Drosophila melanogaster: one gene and its partner. The protein of the gene in region 1 interacts with the protein of each later gene in a pairwise test. Each region holds a gene or a part of one and is shown on either strand. Other genes may lie near its edges. The genes, in order: CG43367 and CG5866.

The links.
Region 2: the proteins of CG43367 (region 1) and CG5866 interact in a two-hybrid assay, tested with the Drosophila melanogaster proteins (one large-scale study listed by BioGRID).

What each region holds. Positions count from the first base shown.
Region 1 is NT_037436.4:4,192,240-4,197,151, reverse strand, and holds the start of CG43367 (uncharacterized protein), read right to left. Parts: upstream 3,160-4,912; 5' UTR 2,868-3,159; coding exon 2,817-2,867; intron 2,595-2,816; coding exon 2,238-2,594; intron 2,175-2,237; coding exon 1,988-2,174; intron 1,854-1,987; coding exon 1,765-1,853; exon of another isoform or gene 1,647-1,764; coding exon of another isoform or gene 1,563-1,646; coding exon 1,437-1,562; intron 1,312-1,436; coding exon 1,162-1,311; intron 1,106-1,161; coding exon 845-1,105; intron 791-844; coding exon 468-790; intron 405-467; coding exon 197-404; intron 140-196; coding exon 1-139. Other genes in the region: tipE (temperature-induced paralytic E), read right to left, coding at 4,897-4,912; CG18675 (uncharacterized protein), read right to left, coding at 4,847-4,912.
Region 2 is NT_033777.3:17,413,971-17,417,161, forward strand, and holds CG5866 (uncharacterized protein), read left to right. Parts: upstream 1-1,768; 5' UTR 1,769-1,775; coding exon 1,776-2,385; intron 2,386-2,442; coding exon 2,443-2,504; 3' UTR 2,505-2,535; downstream 2,536-3,191. Other genes in the region: CG42822 (uncharacterized protein), read left to right, coding at 1-136, 204-356, 419-429.

The DNA of each region.
Region 1 (4,912 bases):
AGATGAAGCCATATGAACCGGAGATAGTCCAGTTTCGAATATCGGGTACAAGAATACCATCCGTCGGTTGCTCAATGGAAAAGAACTCGGCGCAGGAATTGCTGCCTCTAAGGCTCTGCAAAGCAATTACAACAAGAGTCTGCAAGAAATTTAACTATTAACAAGAATACGATATCACAAGGGGATAGAATTTCACCTGCTGAAGCTGCTTGAACTGCGGAAACTTCGTGCCCTGCCGCAACAGTGAAAATATGCACTTGAGCTCCGCGGGTACAATACTGAGCTTGCTTAATTCCTCTATCAACTTAATGAGATTCTGAACACAGTTCTCGGCCAGAGATTCCGCCGTCAGGAGGCAACCACATACTGCTTTGATAATATGACTGCCACATGCCACAGTTTTTCTGTTAAATATTCAAAAGGCTGATGTATCCGTTGATTATATCAATCGAAGCTAATTTTCTTACGTTCTGTAGTTGTCGGTGCAGCCCTTGAGCACAAGACTGGTCACATGCAATTGTTCGCGCTCTTGGAGCGTTGGCACCCAATTGAGCAATCGAAGCATAACTTCGGGTAGCAGCAAAAAGTGCTCACTTTCATCGTAGCCAAGCATGAAACAAGTGTCCAGGAGTTCGACTGTTGGACTGCCATATTCCTGCAGGCTGGTAAAGAGCCTCTCGATGCGCTCACCCTGTCGCAACTGGGACGCGGATTGAGGGGAATGGCGCGCTAAAATAGCCAAAGCTTCCATGGTGCTGCACAGGGAACTCGAGTGGGAAATATGCCAGGGCTATAAAGTATAACAATGATTAGTACTGAATTTGTAAGAGATAAGAAAACATACTTTTATAAGCTTTGGCAGATTGGTAAGCAGTTCCAATAGATTGGAATCGGAAACGGCTTCACTAACACCTGCATCGCCTGTGACAAAGAATTTAACAGCCGCTACGGTGGAGGAGAGTGCAGCCATGTCGATAGCCACATCCTGGTCAGCATCGCTGGTTATATCGAAATTGGCATCCCCGCTATCGAAGTGCTTTGTGGCCAGGAGCTCTTGGAGAGCATCACAATACAGTTGAACTAACGTAACTAGGTCTATTTGGCGCTGTGCAACGAAGATGTGATTAGTTTGCTGTGGAAACGAAATGGCTGGCTACTCACTTCTTCCGGACTAGATTTCTGCAGCACAATGACCATCAGCGCATAGCATTGCAGGGCTACGCGGCGCAGATTATTGGCACTCTCCCATTGTCGCAGGATACTCATGGTAATGGACACCGTGGCGGGGCAAATGGCCTTCATACCATTGCGCTGATCAGACCAAATTCACCATTATAAGGGTTCAACGCAGGACATGGGACAGACAAGCAATGGCATGCATGAGCAACGGTTAGGGGACAACAATGATCGGGACAACAGATGGTTCCACCACTCACCAAGTTATCACAGTCTAGCAGCCCATCACCCGAGCAGGGGGCAAGTGAAGAAGTGGTTAGAGCGTTAGTATTTCTATTTGTCAGGGTCGAGGTCGAGTTTAGAGACTTCTGCACTTTCAGCTGCAGCTGGAGGAGATCCAGCCACACAACGATACACGAAATGAAACGAAATAGGACAAGGAAACAAAATGATAGAGCTCTAACGTACATTAATAGCGAAAGCAGTGAGCAGAAAGGTAAGCTGTCAGGAAGTGAGGTTAATAATTAAACGGTTTTTAAGAGAGAAAGGACTACACAGGAAGGGACTGGAGACGCTTTCTGGCGCTACCTGTGAGCCGCAAATCACAGCGCCCAGGATGTTTAGCAGGCTTTCGCCAATTTCCGCATATCGGATGAGCTTCTCCTCCTGAAAGCAATCTGCAAGGCAAAGCGAAATGTTAGTGGGCCAAACTGTTATGGGGCAGTGATGGGTCACTTAAACTTAAACTGGGATCAGACTCATCAGTAGTTAGTTACACTCCATCACTGCCTCTTTATCCTTTTTATCTTACCATAAATAAAGGGGACAATTTCCACATGAACCGAGTGGGGTTTATATGAAAGACGACTGTAGTCAGCTGACTGGCCTCGCACGAAGCTGCGCCACGTCAGATATGGATCATACATGACTTCCAGGAATGCCGAGAAACTGCTAAACAGGTGGCTTATTGCGGGCACGCTCTGCGGCAGCTCCATTTGCTGGAATTCATTGATAAGTTAATTGTGGTAAAACCCAGCAATATGTATAAGATATTTGCATACTTGTTTGAACACCCTGGAGAGTATGGCGATCAAATTCGGCTTGTATTCATACTTGATGATGGACAGTATGTTATCAAAGTGCCGGCACACGATCACCAGACAATCCACGAGTATGGCTACTTCTTCAATGGCCTGCTCCTCCAGTTTCCCTTCCGTTTCGCAAACATCTCTGGCTACAATGATGAATTTACCGATGGCGGGCAGGAGTTCATCCGGGAGGCGGCCCAAGTGGGGACCACTATCCGGCTGAACCTCGTGCCACATCGGGCAATTTTCCGCCTGAAAGTCTAGCTGCAGTTGGCTCCTCCAAATGGCCACGAAGCGGGCCACAAATTGCCGGAAGTGGGTTTCATCATTCTTAAAACGAAAAGAGCGAGGGAGAGGGAAGGATTTAGTTTGAGCCTCTCCGGGATTATATAATCATTACACTGTTTACATTACTTGAAGTGCTGTTTGCCTTTCAGTGACTAATGCTATAAACATTTGCGGCCTCCCCCGCAATTGGAGCAGCACCCCCCGCCACTCCTCCACCCAAAATCCGACTTCTTATCACTCGATTTTCTCTAATTGGAACCTTACCTTTGTCGTGTACTGCACCCACAGATTGTATATATCCTTCTTATTGTCCATCGTCGCGTTTTTTCCAGCAATTTTCTCAACTGAACGGCATTTGTTAATTGCTAGCCGAGTTTTTCCCCAAGGCGAATTATTTGTTTACAAAAAAAAATGTTGCCGACGATGTAGGTTGTTTTGTCCACAGCCCAGGTTTTGCTCTATTTCGGCGTTGTTTTCCGAGCTCCTCCTTGGGAGCGAACGTCTATATAGTCAGAGTGATAGCCTCTACAGAGGTTGCAAGCCGTGATTCAGATTTCAGCACATTTACAAGAACTTTTTGGCCAAATTTTCACACAGCTAGAGGCACAGGTGAAAACGGCAACAGCTGATTGCTTCTTCTTCCTGTCATTCACCATTGTTTGGCAGTGTTGTAAAATGCGCGGGTAACCAAAAATGTTGGCGCCAAATTTTGATCTCAAATATCATTAATGAAATTGAAGATCTTTGTTATTTATTTTGTATAGCTGCAAAAATTCATCCATAACACCAAAATAAAACAGCATGACAACTTAGGCTGCTAAATGCGTATTTATTTCGAGATTTTCATGTATTTGGTTTCAATTCTAGTAGCATTTTGTTATTTGTTTGTCTGTTTTACATGATATTAGCTAATAGTTGCGCTTCTGTTGCCATTGCTTGACCCTCGTTAACTATTTCCAACTGTCGTTAAAAACAAACGATTTCTGTGTAGTTCATTGCCGCCTATCATTGATACAATATGCGCAAAAGTGCAGTTTATTGATGCGGATGCGGATGCTGATGCAGATGCGGATGCTTCTATACGCATTCTATACGCAATTTCGTTTAGAAGTGACTTGGTTTGGTTTTCGGTTTTGTTTGTAATATAAAAAGGAAACGTTAGTTTATATTTAATTTCAGACCTAAATTATTAAGATTTAATGCAATATTTTATTTGTAAGTTTTTAATTGAATAGCTTGAACCATTTGTAGGACCTATAAATATTCACTATCCGTTAATAATCTTAATAAAATAAATATGTAGAAGAAAAATCTTATGCCTCCGTTTCAGTTAGTTAAAGCTGTGAGTTTTTATCCGCATTAATTTGAAGGATAACAATGTTAGTTAATTTACGTTAATTTAAGTTAATGTTAATTTAATTTAATTTAATTTACTTCAAATATAGGCATTCGACTTGCTTTCGTTTATCATTACGTTTAAATGAAATACACGATGCTTTCGTTTGTTGTTAAATTTAATTTCTGTTTTTCGGTTTTTACGCATTACGGTTTGCAGCACTTGAATGGGCATTACAATATTTAAAAAACCTCAGCGCCTCGATTTATCGATTTGTAAATAAGTTGCGCGCCTTGTTTTTCTTTTGCTTTTATTTGCTCTATTTGGAATTTGGGTTTTGGATTGTGGATGTTGGGCAATGGGTAGTGGGGTAGTGGAGTTGGTGGAGTTTATCTGTGTTTCTGCCTCGAGACGACGACGATTGTTGCGAATAGAAAAATAATTCAAGTAAATATTTGTATATGCGTGTATAAGTATTATAGTTTTTCCTCTAGGTATATGAATAGCACTCCATGCTCGAGTCCATGCGGCCTATGTTTTTATTGTATTTGTACCAATCGCCTAAGATCCTCCAGATATCAGATACTGTGCACATACTATAATGCCCGTGCATTGCAATTTTGAGTGGGTGTGGCAGTCCGGAGTTACTCCGGCTATCTAGCGTGCTTAATGTGGGTGAGTGTTTGTGTGAGTGTAGGTGTGAATCCGAGTAGCTAGTTCATAAGGTAAATATAATCTATCATAGTTCATTAGGTGCCGCTAACAGCTCTGAAGGTATTCAGGTTCGGTCGCATTCGCTGCGTTGTTGTCGATTGTTTCGGGTAGAAATACTTGGGGTGTATCGCGCTTTACGGTTGCCTCATGAGTTCTTTTTCGGGTTGGGTCTCCGCTCCGGTGATCTCCGCCTGCTCCGTGGTCCGTGGCTGACCGCTCGGCGGTCTACGAGTCCAGTAGCGGCTCATTTTCTGAATCGGAATCTAACATTTTCCAGACCATGCGCCTGACGTTTCAGACTGCCGCTGTC
Region 2 (3,191 bases), on another chromosome or scaffold:
GCTTTGAGCCAAGTTAGGGGTAACTGTTCAGGCGAATGTCCGGATACGGAGGAAGTTGTTTGGGCTCTTGGAGGAGGTTGCAATGTTTTCCGGAATAAGTGTTATTTCGACAAGGAGAACTGCCATCGAAAGCCAGGTGAGCAGTTTCTTATTACAACTTAATAAGAATTAATCAAACGAATATTATGTTGATTATATAAAAGCCTTGACCATAACGACAAAGAGGGAGTGTCAGAAGCAATGCGCCGACATTTGTACAGCCATCTACCAGCCCACAACTGGAATCTACAAGGGCGAAGTCCTAAACTTTGGTAACGAATGTGAAAAACGGGCTCACACCTGTCGTACTGGCCAGAGTGAGTTAAACTACATGTTTAGATATTACAGTTGACTTATTTCCCTTTATTCAATTTTACAGCTTTTTTGTAAGCCACGCAGAATGTTTTAAGCGTGAACGAAAGTAAATGAACTTTTACACCTAAATCTATTAGTTGTTTTTATCTATTAGGGCTCTTTGGGGCCTCAAGCATGAAACCAAATATCGAAGTCGTGTTTGCGTAACAAACAGCCAACAAGTCACGTAGAAATCAAGCGAGTGCGCTGAATAATATAAAAGTGTTTTAGTCACACCCAGTTTAAAAGATATGGTAAAAAACTATTGTTTAATAATAATAATTTTTAAAATTCGCTTTAACATAATATTATAAATATGTAATCCGTATAAATTTCATTTTGTTTGTGTTATATAAAAATGTACATTTATATAATATATGGCTCAGTATAAATATTATTCATCCTATTAATGGAATAGCACATATTTCGTATCTTATTATATTATATTAAATATTATTTAAACTAATTAAAGATAGAAAAGCGTAACTCCATGCATGTCCAATATAATTCACTAAAATTATCCACTTCTGTTGACCACGTGACGTTTGCTTTGGGGTTTTAGAGTTACAATTACCTAACTTCAATTAACTAATATAATTACAACAGAATAATACAGTAGCTTAATTACTTACATATTATTTGTGAAGTCCGCGAGATAGATTTAGTAGCACTTTGTAAACAAATAAATCTAAATAGATATATATCTTCTTCAGTGATCCCTTTCTTAACAGGAACTTAACATTTTATTTTAATATGAAACGTGAATAAAAAGCTGAAGAAATATGGTCACAATTCCAGTTTATGAGATTATTTATATTTTGGGTCACACATTTTAAAATAAGTTTTAGGTACATAACAGTTAAAACACTTGTATACCTAACATTAGTCGTTTCCAAGTAATCACACCTGTTAAATACACACATTGTAAAATAGTTTACTTTTAATATTCCGTGACTCTAAACTACACGTCCAGTCACACAGTCTTTACTAGAATCAGTTGAGAATTATAGGGCAAAATCAAAATAAAAATATTAAAAGACCATTATATTTAAGACCATTTGTAAAGATGTAAGCATGCGAATGGGTTCAGTCAACTCGGGTTGACCTGAGGGTTTAGAATTCAGAGCTCTAGGTAAAGAAACTCCCGAGTTGAACGTTCCTAGCCTGCATATACCACAAGGTTGTGATTTATGCCCTGCTTGAGAGTATTTATATTATTTAATTAGCTGCCCACTAGTGATGCTATTGCGGTGCTTATCTTTTAATTAATTTCTAATTAAAATGGGTTTCTTATTAAGTTTAAATTATTGGACTCGGTTTCTATTGTGCTCTGGGTATAAAACCGAAAAGGTTCCTGTGAATCAGCATCAGTTGAAGAAAATATGGCTCTGCGTTTCGTTTTCTTGCTGAGTGCTTGGATGGTCCTTGCCCAAGGATCCTTTCTGCGCAGATCGGATATTATTATCTTAGAAGCGAAGGTTCCCCAGAAAGGATATCTGCCTGTCGAAGATGCTTCAGTGCATCAAATCGTTCCTAACGAGTCATTGTCTGCAGGAAAAGAACATCAACATCAACGAGTACATCTGTATCAATTTCAATCGCATCCTCACGAGCACGGACCCCATTATCACCTAGAAGGGCACCATCACCTATCTGAGCCCCACCATCATCATCAGTTGTCTGAATCGCATGATCCTATCCACGGATCCCCTCAGCACCACTATCATGGTTCACATCCTAACCAACAACTCGAGGCACCATTTCAAGAAGTTCATGGATCCCACCATCAGCATCCAATCCACCACAACCATCTGGAGGCACCATATCACGGAACTCATGGTGTTCATCATCATCGCAACTGCCACGCCACCATCCATTGCCCCAGGGTTCATAGTCCAGCTTATGCCACCGATGGTCATCTCTGCTACAGGGTGGAGAACTCCTGCGCACTGGCCGTTTTGAACTGCCTGCGTCGCAATGAACTTAAGCCAGGTTGGTTATAAACATATCTAAAACATTTTCACAAATGATATTATTGTTTAATTGCAGTTTTGAGACACATCGGTCATCACGAATGCCATCGTCTGCCCAGCGCTTACAGGGCCCACTAATTCTAAGCTCAAGATAACTAAATATAAATATAAATATTTATATAAATATAGATATAAATATCTAATATAATATCCTAAGTTGTATTGTTTTCTTTTTCTGAAATATAATATTGTCAAATGAAATAATTTTGTTGTTGTCGGTGTTGTGTGTACTATTTACATAAATCTGGTTGTCCTATGTATGATAATCTTATGCATAAACCTATATTCGGAAGCCTAGATCTTTTAAATCTTTAAAGATAGAAGGTATTTAAAGATATGGTATCATTTACCATATATATAAAACAAAAAAGGCTAGCCTCCCCTCAGGTCCTCCTCATATTAATATCAGGGCCATTTTATGCCAATCGAAACAACTGTAACTTATTAAATAGATAACAAATTAAAATGCATTACAAAACAATCAATATTAAATGCCTTAGTAGATTTTCTCGACTATTAGATACCCATTACTCGTTGCCATTTAAGAATAAACGCCTTAGTCGATTTTCTCGACTATTAGATACCCATCAGTCGTTGAAGTCTGGCTTCAGATATAGATCCTATTCTGCATACATAATGGACGGACGGACGGAAATGTTGGCACGATCAACAAAATATATACTACAAAATGATTGAAAATTTGCTGTTTTAAACTAATCTAGTATTGTTTTGTGGTACATTAAATATTCGAATTTATCAAGTAAT